Drosophila melanogaster: one gene and its partner. The protein of the gene in region 1 purifies or fractionates together with the protein of each later gene. This does not show direct contact. Each region holds a gene or a part of one and is shown in the gene's direction. Other genes may lie near its edges.

Region 1 (5,186 bases):
TGTAGTGCTAGCCACAGTGGTACTACTATCACTAGAAGTACTTGTCGAAGCGGTTGTATCCTCATCTTCGGTGTTCTCGGCAATCCAACCTGTGAACCAAGGTACATTGGCGTAGACATCTGGTTTGGTGGTGCAGCCGCCTTCGGATAGAATGCCCACGAGTTGTCCATCTATCACCAAGGGAGCTCCCGTATCGTAGGAGCATCCTCCGGCGCCATTATGAGTGCAGAGGGTAAGGTACGAGATGCCATTGTCCCAGAGTCCGAACCAAACACCGCGATCCGCGGCGCACTGCTCCCGATTGTAGACGCTGACCCATGCCATCTGCAGATAGTCCGGCAGACTGCCGAAGCACCTGTCCCACCAGCTGCCCCACCAACTGGTGGATCCCCAGCCGGAGACAGTGCACCACGAACCATCGTCCGGTTCATCCTCTGCTATGCTGATGGGCTGAATAGCTTCGGAGGTCTTGAGCGGATCGCACAACTTCAACAGTGCCAGATTGTTATCGAAACGCCAGCAATTGTACTGCGGGTGATTAATTATTTCACAGACTTCGAGCAGGAATCCAGTTCCATCATAATCGCGGGAACTGGTGCCCACGCGTACTTCAATTGAACCGTAGGACTGGACACACGAAGCTGCTGTGATGATGGTGTCTGATGTGATGATCGCCCCACTGCATATTGCTGTGCCATCTATTATTACTTCCGCCTGGTACGGGGCATCTTCAATATCCACATCATAACCTCCAATGATGCGGCTTTGGGCATCCAGATCACCACGAACCGGCCGTAAAAGAGCAGCCAACAGAAATAAGAACACACTCCAAATCATTATAAACAACTGATTTTTAGAGCTGCATGTGCGACTCTTTTTATAGGAAAAGTTAAGTCGTTTTCAAGGCTAGAGCTCCTTATCTGCAAAGTCATACCTCAAATTGAGTGATGGCTTTACTTCGAAGCTCTATCAAAATAGGAAGTATTGCGTATTACTTGCACTAATCTGCACATAGTCATAGCTCGAAGGCAAAGTATTTTTTAACAATTAATTGGGAGAACGCTTAAGTTTACTTTGTATGATTATGCAGCCAGTCCTTGTACTTTATAAGATTGATATAGACTTCTGGATACTCCGAACAGCCGCCTTTCGTTATAATGCCGACCAGTTTGCCATTGTGGACCACAGGTGATCCCATCGCTAAAGAGCAGGCTTCCTTAGCGAACTTCTCGGTGCAGAACAAGTCATCTGTAAAATTCTTTTTGGACCAATTGTTTCGCGCCCACAGATCTGTGCACTGGCTAGGGCCAAGTAGCTTCACCTCGGCCTTCTGCAGCTTGTAGGCTTCATCATCCAGACACTTCTTCCAATACATTGCCCACCACCTGAAGGAGGGCCACCCGTTGGCCGTGACCTTTGCCCCATTAGACGGAAGCTGGTTGGCCAACTGAATTGGCTGGATCGTTTTGGAGGCCTCGAGCGGTTCGCACAACTTTAATATGGCCACATTGTGAAATACTGTCTGGCCGGTGAACTTTTCGTGAACTGTAATGTTGCAGACTGCTACTTCGATGACTCCATCGCTGCGCGTAGTGCTACCCACTCGTACACGGATCACCTTGTTCAGGAATCCATCCACACATTTCCCGGCTGTCACAATGTGACTCAGTTTGTATATCGCTCCGTCGCACTTGGCCTTTTGTTTGATCGAAATGGAAGCAATCCATGGCGCTGTGGTTATGTTCACGGGATGACCACCAAGAGTCGTCCGGTTGCAGTCGTTTTCGTCGTCCTCTTCCGAATCTTCACCTGCACCCGTGTCACTTTTGGAAAGGACAAAGAGTGCAAGGAAAATTGGTAGAGATCGCAGAAGCATGATGCCAAATAAATGTGCATATAGCAGGCTGTTTAAATTTTATAGTATTGGCACAAAGCATAGCAAATTAATTTGTTTTACTTTACGGTGTGTTAAAATTTTTCTCACTTTAAGCCATTGTGCAATGTTCTTTATTCTGTGCTTTACAAATTCAAATATAGATCTACAGAAGGCAAGGTAATATTATCATTAAACTATTCACAGCAAGTAAGATATTAATCCTTCGTATTCGAGTCCAGCCAGTTCGTGTGCCCCAGGATATTTGCATAGACATCGGGCTTAATGGAGCAGCCCGCTCTGGAGAGGATGCCCACGAGCTTGTTGTCGATGACCAGAGGCGAACCCCTGTCTGTGGAGCAGGCTCCCTTGCCCGGCGACTTGGTGCAGATGGTCAGGTCTGAGATTCCCTTGAGTAAGTAAAATGGTATGACTTTCCAGTCGGCGGCGCACTGTTTTTGGCTAAGGATCCGCACTTGAGTGCCGTGCAATTGGACAGGCAGCTGGAAGCACTTCTCTTCTATTCCGCTGCTAATCCTCTAAGTCTAAGATAAGGTCAAGGAAATTGCCTGATCTGCCACCACAGCCAGTCACATTGGCTCGAGAATTATCATCCGGCACTTTGTCGGCCCTCTCAATTGGCTTTATTTCATCGGTGGTGTTGAGTAGCTCGCAGGTTTTCAAGAGAGCCAAGTTATTGTCAAAGCGCCAGCTGGAGTACTGGCTATGAACTTTGACCTTACAGATTCCAGCAATTGATCCACTAGTGCCGCAGCTGCTGGTTCCCAACCTGACTTGTATGCTCCTGGCGCTGTAGCCATCCACACACTTGGCGGCAGTCAGGATGTAGTTCTTCGAGATAATGGCACCACCGCACTTGAGCTTCGAATTGACTATGATGGAGGCATACCACGGTGCATCCTTAATGTTGACAGTGTTTCCGTTTATGATCCGCTGATCTCCGAGAGCCAACCAAGGCAGAGCCACAATCTGCAGGAGGATTAGTGGGGCTAACATTCTCTTTAACTGACTTTCGTGAAGGGCGTGCTCCTCTTTTTATGGGATTCTTTGTTAATTAAACGGAATAGCTTTGGAATACTCTTCTTATCTACCTTTCGAAGAATCTATTTTGTAATGTAAGAAGAATATGTATTACAATGTATTACAATCCATATTGGCATTTGAAACATTTTGAATGATAAATACGCCCTGTGCGCAATCGATTGAATATAAAACCGAACTATTATACGTTCAATTGCCAATTGGGGTAATCCACATATATGCCCAAATTATAAAGTATAATTTAAGCAGCCGCATCGATTCTTTTCGCTTAGAGCGGCTTTGTACCCGTCCTCCGATTTGAGACAAAACTCACCAGCCATTACACTAAGCCGCTTAAATATTTGAATAATTCCTGCAGAGTAAAAAAAACGTGGGTGACTGAAATATAGCTGGACATTTCCATCAAGCGATATTTGCATGTATTTATGCAATTTTACATGAATGCAGATTTAAATCTGGGCAATGTTTAGCAAAATGTCGAAATAAATACTTTCATGGAGGAAAGTGGCAGGAGAGAGCTGGCGAGGGGCAAGGGGCATGGGGCATGGGGCAAGTAAACAAACATTTTGATGATTCGCCATGTCAAGTGGGTCGGTTTCGCAGCCAGGCAGGCGGATTAAAATGGATTACAACTGAATTATTTGATAATGTCCCAGCAGATGCAACACATCGCATTGCTTTCGCCCCGAATCGCATTTAATTTTTATCAATGTGAAAATCATTTTTGGTTGCTGGGTTTTTTATTACCATTTTATTGGGTTTTTTCGGCGGGCTGAATCGTGTTTTCAATTTGCCCCTGGATCTACGTTTTCTTTTGTCAAATATTGTTTGGGTGTGCTTTTTTTAGCTCTATTTAATTGATTTTATTTACGCAAAATCAGGAAAGCTTGCTCGCTTTATACGAGGCTTTAATTAATTTAGTTAATGGGATATATTCGCGTACTATTCATGATCTTTTGTTAAACTGTTATGCTTGAAAAAAAAGGATTAATTATGTTAAAAGCAAGTGCCTTTCTCACCATTTTATAATATTCAACAGATTTGCTAAGCAAGGCCACTTTTCAAATGACCTCAATTGGTTTTTTTTGCTGGCCTAATGAATATTTCAGTTTTGGCAACATCGCTAACGCCATAGACGTCCATCGATGGCCATTTCCAGCTCGATCCAGCTGCTCCTCCATCTCAATCAGCCTTTGGCTCATACATAACCCAGTAAATCCTTTTCCAGCTCGATGGCATCGTTGCCAATTTTCACACCAGCGACAATTACTCAAACCGTTGGCAACAACAAAAACATGGGTTACCACTGTCCTCGTCCTCGCTCCCTTTTCCCTGACCCGCTTTTCCCGGACTTTTCCCGCCCGCCCCCGCAGTCACAGCTCGCCACTCGGAATCGAGGGAGCCGGCAAAACAATCGTTGACAAAAATATTTGCATGCACTCTGGGTGCACTTGTCCGAATCGCCGTGCTGGGGATGCAGCTGCTCCTCAGCGCTGCTGTGCCGCGTGTGTTGCCATCGGCGGCGGCGCATTAAATATGCAACACCTATGACAGCAAGCCGCTTGACATTTGGATCCGAAGGCACGGGACTGGAGACCCATTCCAGTTTTAAGCTGGAACTAAAGTTTTGCCGACAATTTGCAGCTAAATTTGTCAAAAAACCAGAAACTTGGCCGGCTGAGAAATTATGACTTCCGCAATTGTTGGGTGGAACAAAGGGAATCCAGCGCAGTGCCAAAGTGTGACCGACCCGAAACAGTTCAAAAGGCAACTGTTGCTCTTGAACCTTTGGAAAATCCACCGCTTCAAATGCCGTTACACCCCCCGCCCCCCACACACGGCAAAGTTTTCAAATAGAAAATGTTTAATTTCCCCAAAGACAACGTCGATGCTGCTGCTGCTTTCCCGAAAACGCAGCGTTTTCCCACCCAGGCCAAGGAAACTTTCTTACATATTTTACAATAGATCTTCGTGTGTGTGAGTAAGAGTGTGTATGGGTGTGTGTGTGTGGGTGGGTGCAACAGTGCAGCCGAAAAAGTTTCTCCTTTCCCGGGCGGAAAGTTAGCTAAGACAAACGCCCCGAAAATACCCACATCGCTCAGTTGCCAGCGCCCATCGCTGAGCTTCCGGGTCGAACTTGTTAGTTTGCCATATAGCGTCGAAAATTATATTATTTTAAACTTTTCAAATGTCACCAGAGAGTCAGAAATTTCACCGAAAGTCGGTGACAAACTCCTGTTGTTGCGACTCT
Region 2 (6,436 bases), on another chromosome or scaffold:
TGCTGGCGCTTCTTCACCTGTAAAATTGGATTTCGACGGTCAGTGAAAGCATTTAAATTTGAAAAGAAAGTTAAAAATTAAAGTATATAAAATACCTTTAACATGTATCGTTTTGTTCAGTGTAGCTACCTTTGACAACGCTGTTAATTACAGCGATGACAAATCGCTAATGAAGTGTTACCGGCAAGCCCAAACGCACACAAGCGCACACAAAGCCAACTCCCCGCCGATATAAACATATGTACGTAAAAAGAACGCCAGAACCACGCGATATGATAAGGCTAATTAAAATGGTTTGTTGCACCCCAGCATTTATCTTACGATAAGAATATGTGTTTCCCAACGCTTTTTTAAAGTGTACAAAGACAGGACAAAAACAAATAATTGTGAACCGTACAATGACCGTTATGTTTTTGTTCTTATTGGAAGAGGAAGATTGCCAATTGAACAAAGGCACCGAAAGAGTGAGAGGGGGAAGTGAATCACCCCTCACGCATGTACACACACACACACATGCACACGCACCCACGCAACTGCGATCAATGGAAATCCCTCTCTTCCATGAACAATTTACAGTTCACAGTGGAATGAGCTTATATGGGCAATGAAATGTATGTTTGTTCTGCTTCTTGCCACCACTAACACTCGCACACAAGGGCACTCACGAAAATACCCACTTGTTTTTCTTTGACTGTACAGACATACAGACTTACATACCACACACTACATCATCATCATTGTCCAACTCACGTACATACACACAAAGACGAAACGCAGCAGAAGAAATAGAATTTGCAATGCGTTCGTCACCACTTTAGTTTGCTTCTTTTCCTTTTTATCTGTTTGTCGCTAATACCAGGGCCAAACATTCCAATAACATGACACTATTTCGGTTTTAAGCCCGCCACGCCCACAAACTCACCTCCTTATTGCCGGACATGCCGCTGACGTAGACTTTCAAGACCATTTTCGCAGATTACTGTGTCCTCGCACCGCAAATGAAATAATATTTTGCAACTAAAATCTGCTGGCTACTTTCACGGCGATTAAAAATATTTATAGATCTTTTCTTTTCCTGCTTTCTTCCGTCCTGCGCCCCTACGTAATGTTTTTCCACTGGTGACGAAGGCACACGCACTGGGCAAGGTCGTTGGTTTTATTGGCTGTAAAAACGGCAAAGACGCGGATAAAAAAATTGCCTGGCGACGCTTATAAAAGTGCAAAAATATTTGATATCAGGAGTGGAAAATATTTCCTACTTTGTCGTTGAATTGAATGGTGGGACCGCGCATTGACGGCTATAGAAAACCTTCCGGCTTATCAAATATACTAAATATGATGCTTGATTAAAATACTAAAAACTTTGAACTTAAGTGATATTTCAAAATTAAATATTTTTAAGACAACTTAAATTTTATTATGCTCCCATGTAAGGTTTTCATTTTTTAAACGTTCTTCGATTAATAATCGTAATAATAAAATAATAATTTATAAAAAGCATAAGATAGGCTTTTTAAGGTTTTTTAAAAGATAGAAGAAAAGGATTCTTATTATAGAACAAATTATTTTTAATTTGGCGTCGATGAGTTAGCGGCTTCAAGGAACGGTGGAATTTAGAACATGAGGGTGTTTTTTATTTATTAATTTTTTGTTACTTGGAGTTGAATTCCATAAAAATAAAAATGCAATAATGCTAACTTTCTACAAACGACTTAAGGTTATAGGACTCAAGAAAGTACATAGAATATGCAATTGAAAAATGTTCTCCCCAGACTTTTCGGTTATTTGAAGTTTTTGCTATATTTGGTAGAACCATAAAGTATTTTTTGGTATAGATCCGTTAGCAGGGCAACCAATATTAGCGGTCGCCATGCGGTCACTCTGTTCACGTCCCGTCACGCAAGCATCGTCGTCCATTTTTGCTAAGAAGCGAGACGAAAATTTGTAAATTATATCTAGCGAGTCGCCGAGGACGAACAACTATTGACAGTGCATTTCAGTGGCCTTTGGAATACTGCTCAAACAACCAGCAAGCAATAACATTACTTATATCTAACCGAAAACCTAAATTAATCACCCAAACTGAAGTACGGACGTGAATGTAAGTGGGTATGTGCCAGCGGACTAGTGGCACAATAAAAAAGTAAATAAAGCGCGTGTGAAGTGGTGCAGAAAGCAAAAAAGCAGTCGGAAGGAAAAATCAAAATACGCATTAATGTAAGTGCGATTGTTGGAAAAGCTGTTTAACTTTTTGTTCCTCTGAAAAGCTGATAATGATATGCGATGCGACCATTTTTAAAATTTCATGAAATCAACATTCCAACTCACAACGGTGTGCGTGTGCGTTTCTTTGTGTGCGTGCGTGTGCAGGCTAGAGTGGGACAACCAGTGTGATCGCTTTGGCTGCTGCCATTTCGTTTGCTTTTTTTTAAACTAATCTCTGGCATTTGTCACGTAAAAGAGTATAACGTTAAACCCAAAAACGTTTTGTATATGGCTTTAAATATTTAATAATTGTGGGCAGAGACAGCAACACCAGCAGCAGACGCATACACACGTGTTGCGGTTTATCGAGAGGGCAGTGTGCGTGTGTTAGTGCGGAAAACAGCTGGTACAGCTGCCGCTGCAGCGACGAAGAAGAAGAAAAGAAAGAAAGGGGAAGAGTGAGAAGAACACGCATTATTATCCTGCGTAGTTTTCTTTTATCGGTGGTTGTTCTGCTATTGGGTTACAGTTTACACTTTTCTCTGTTTTCTTTATTTTCCCTCTGCATTGCTATGCATTTTGCCTTTGCGTGGTGGTTTTTTTTATTTTCATTGTCGGTCGTCCTTTAATTGCGCTGCGCCACTTCGTTTCGTCGCTTTCTTTGGCTGGTTTCTCCTTCTCTTCGGAGTTTCTGGATTCGTATTCCGATTCGGTATCGCCCTTTTCCTGCGACAACAGCAGCTGGGTGCACGGTATCGGAGCTGTCGGCGATAGCCGAAAGAAGCTAGAAACCCCAAGGAAGCCAACATCCTTTTAATTGTCGTGGAAACTATAATAGTCTCATAAAAATTAGGTTTTTAAAATGGTTTTGTCATTCTATTCTAGAAAAAGCTATGAATATAAGAATATAACAATATGTTTAATTGCTTACTAATTTTATTGAACAATATAATTTAATCGTGACGAAATGGGGGAAAAAAAACATTTTTTTGTTGTCTTGAATTTTTTTTCCTCTCTTGTCATGATTATTTAGGTAAAACGGACGTCATCAAAGTCATTAAACTTACGCGAACTTCGCATTTAAAAGTTTTTTACTGGCATTTCTATTTTTAATAGCTTTCTGGGGAAAATATCGGATAATAGCTTTTCAAATTATGCATTGCTAGCAACTTTGACTAGCGAAAAGTATTTACTAAAAATTTTTGTACCTTCCTATTTTCGGCGCTCTTTTTAAGCAAAGGCCCTTGTTTTGTAGCGTTGAAGCCTCAAATTATTTCCAAAATCACGCCCCATAAGCGATAAGATAAGAGAGCGTACAATTGTTGCCCACGATACATACAAGGCGAGAAAAAGTCCAAATTGCCAGCATTGGCGGCCATAAATCGCTGCACCATTTTCTTTTATCGGCTGCGTGTGCGTGAGTGCACGCCTGTGAATCCTGTTTTTTCCTTGAAACCAGTTTGCGTCCGTCTTTTCTTTGCCAGCAAGGTGTTCACTTCACCTTACTCATTCATTGTTTGTTTGCCCATTGCAGCCGACGCTTGATCTTCCATCTGCAGCATCCATCATTTGGAATCGAGGCAATAATCAGCATCTACCGACAATCAAGCAAGCCATCTATCTATCAGAAGACCACCGGGTAGTAGAACCTCAATCATAGCGATGGCCTGTGCAACCCTGAAACGAGCCCTAGACTGGGAGTCGATGAACCAGCGGCCTCCGAAGCGCCGGCGTTGCAATCCCTTTGGCCAGGCTGGGAGCAATGCAGGTCCAGCGTCGCCATCCCGCGACGGTCCCAGCACCTCGGCTGGTCTGCCCCACACGCCCAGCAACCGATTCGCCAAGGATAGCACCGAACCTAGTCCGTTCAGTGAGTCGTCGCTGGCCAAAATGTCACCAGGTTAGTAAATCAGGTCGATGCTGGAAAAGGGACGTCGGATTCCTTTTATGCATATTACCTTAATACACCTTTCTTCTTTTCGAAACACAGACAAAATGGCCGAGAGCTTGTGCAATGAGATCAAGAGACTGCACAAGCGCAAACAGCTGCCGATCACTTCGTCGGCCTTGGAACGCATGCAGGATTCGGAGTCCAGCGGATCGGAGATGGGTCCAGAGAGTCCGCGCCGCCCGGACAGTCCACAGAACCTGATGCGCCACGGCGAAAAGGCCCTGTTCACGTTCAAGCAGGTGCAGCTCATTTGCGAGAGCATGATCAAGGAGCGCGAGAATCAGCTAAGGGAGCGCTACGAGTCCGTGCTGACCACCAAGCTGGCCGAGCAGTACGATGCCTTTGTCAAGTTCACATATGATCAGATACAGCGTCGCTACGAGGCAGCGCCTAGCTGTGAGTTCAAGTTACCATCGGTCATGGTTATAGTGCTAATTACATTATATTTTTATTTCAGACCTGTCGTAAAGCTGTGTACACAGCTGTAGCCTCAGAAAGAAGAAATTAATAATTGCACTACGATCTTATGTGACGGTAGATCTACCGCGACAACAACAGCCCTCATAAACTATAACAAACAACAAATAAGGAAACTAAAGCAAACGCAAAACAAACCAACAAAAAAAAAAAACCTAAAAAGCAAAAAACCTAAAAACAAACAAAAAAAAAAAAACAAACTACAACATACATCGTGTTTAATATATTTTGAAATACACGCGAAGAAAACGGTTATAGTTTATGCCTAGATTTACATATATATATTGTATCGGTTAGCAGCAAAGGGATGAATTATTTAAAAGCAAGCAAAAACCACAAAAGAGAGAAACCAACAAACCAACTTGTTAAATTTATGTTTTTCACATAACGCAAATTCTAAATAAAATGACAAATATCAAATTATGAACTATATGAACTATAAGCACACCGCCACTGCAGACATATACATATGGGTGCATCCGTAGAGAGAACGATTCAATGAAACCTCAAACGTAGCTTCGTACATAACAGACCGACAGAATTGGCAAATATATAATGTTAGGCACATGATGTAGCATATAAGGTATGATGTAAAACCTATCAAACTACATATATTGTTTTTTTGGAAATTGTAATTTATGAAGCGAAGCAACAAAGATAACTCACAACTCATGAAGAACACTTTTCATAGTTTATTTTTGCATATTAGTTGTAACACTAAGGCGAGAAACGAACGCTTGAATTTGCCTATTTTCTCGAGTATCGTTTGTTAATTGTTTCTTCCTTTGATGCGAATTATTGCAAAGTAATGTAAACACACAAAACAATTGAAATGTTTCGATTTGCTTTACACCATACAAAAATGAATAACGAAAAGAAAAGGCAAACAACAAAAAAGGTATAAAAGTTATTCATTAAGTTAAATTGAACGCTTTCTTATAAAATACGCTTGACAGAAGATGTTTCATGTTCATTGCAATTATTTTTTCACACCTTGAAGAATATATACGAGAATATATGATATATATATATATATATATTTTTCAATTACCGCAATCATACATACTACTTTATATTAGTAATTTAAACTTAAAATTAGTAAAGAAATGCCATTTTTATATTAAAACAAACAAAAATAAAATGATGAATTGTAGATGCCCGCTGGTCTTTTCTTTTTAAAGCTTTTTATTCTGTTTGTGAAGCGAACTCTTAATTTCATCCGTTTATAAACCACAATATTCTTTTTTTTATACCAACCCGTATTATCCGAATAAAACTCAATTGGTTCTGGTTGCTCCAAATCCAGCTAATGCTAAATGATTAACCAGGTTTTTCAATATAATTTGCGAATCTAGCAAAACTGCCATAGGTGGGGAAAAGACTGAGCAAAATGAGAGATACCTTTTGTGCAAAACTTTCCATTTGTGAATAAAATTATGAATAACCTTTACAGTGGCTTCTCCAGACTCTGAGAATATTCATTTTGATTTATTTAATGTGTTTGTGCGTTCAACAGAAACTTTCCAAACTTAACACTAGTTAACTAAAAATACGCTTGATTCACATGCTTACAATTACATAATAATGCATTAAAAAGTCTTCAATAATAAATACATTTAGTTCAAAACTCAATTGAACGGAATGAGGAGGGCTATCTTATCATCATAATCAATTCAAAGCCGACGTGGAGCATCTCCCGGCTAAAAAAAACTTCGATATTCATAAAATTCCACAAGTAAACTAAGGAAAGGCTCTTGGGGGACACAACGACTTTCTAAATGGTGGGTGGATGATCTGGGGGGA

Evidence for each region. Proteins that work in one complex are often made in the same cells at the same time.
Region 2: the proteins of twi (region 1) and akirin purify together in Drosophila melanogaster (affinity purification with western blotting, with the first as the bait; one study listed by BioGRID). This does not show direct contact.

What each region holds. Positions count from the first base shown.
Region 1 is NT_033778.4:22,983,439-22,988,624, forward strand, and holds the start of twi (twist), read left to right. Parts: upstream 1-1,935; 5' UTR 1,936-2,053; exon of another isoform or gene 2,054-2,091; coding exon of another isoform or gene 2,092-2,890; exon of another isoform or gene 2,891-3,111; intron 3,112-5,186. Other genes in the region: CG32834 (uncharacterized protein), read right to left, coding at 1-837; CG32833 (uncharacterized protein), read right to left, coding at 1,070-1,876. UniProt on the Drosophila melanogaster protein: Involved in the establishment and dorsoventral patterning of germ layers in the embryo.
Region 2 is NT_037436.4:7,367,968-7,374,403, forward strand, and holds akirin (akirin), read left to right. Parts: upstream 1-1,875; 5' UTR 1,876-2,101; exon of another isoform or gene 2,102-2,217; intron 2,218-2,372; exon of another isoform or gene 2,373-2,583; intron 2,584-2,832; exon of another isoform or gene 2,833-3,058; intron 3,059-3,739; 5' UTR 3,740-3,867; coding exon 3,868-4,105; intron 4,106-4,195; coding exon 4,196-4,552; intron 4,553-4,613; coding exon 4,614-4,624; 3' UTR 4,625-5,744; downstream 5,745-6,436. Other genes in the region: Sh3beta, read right to left, coding at 1-17, 923-967. UniProt on the Drosophila melanogaster protein: Molecular adapter that acts as a bridge between a variety of multiprotein complexes, and which is required for embryonic development and for normal innate immune response.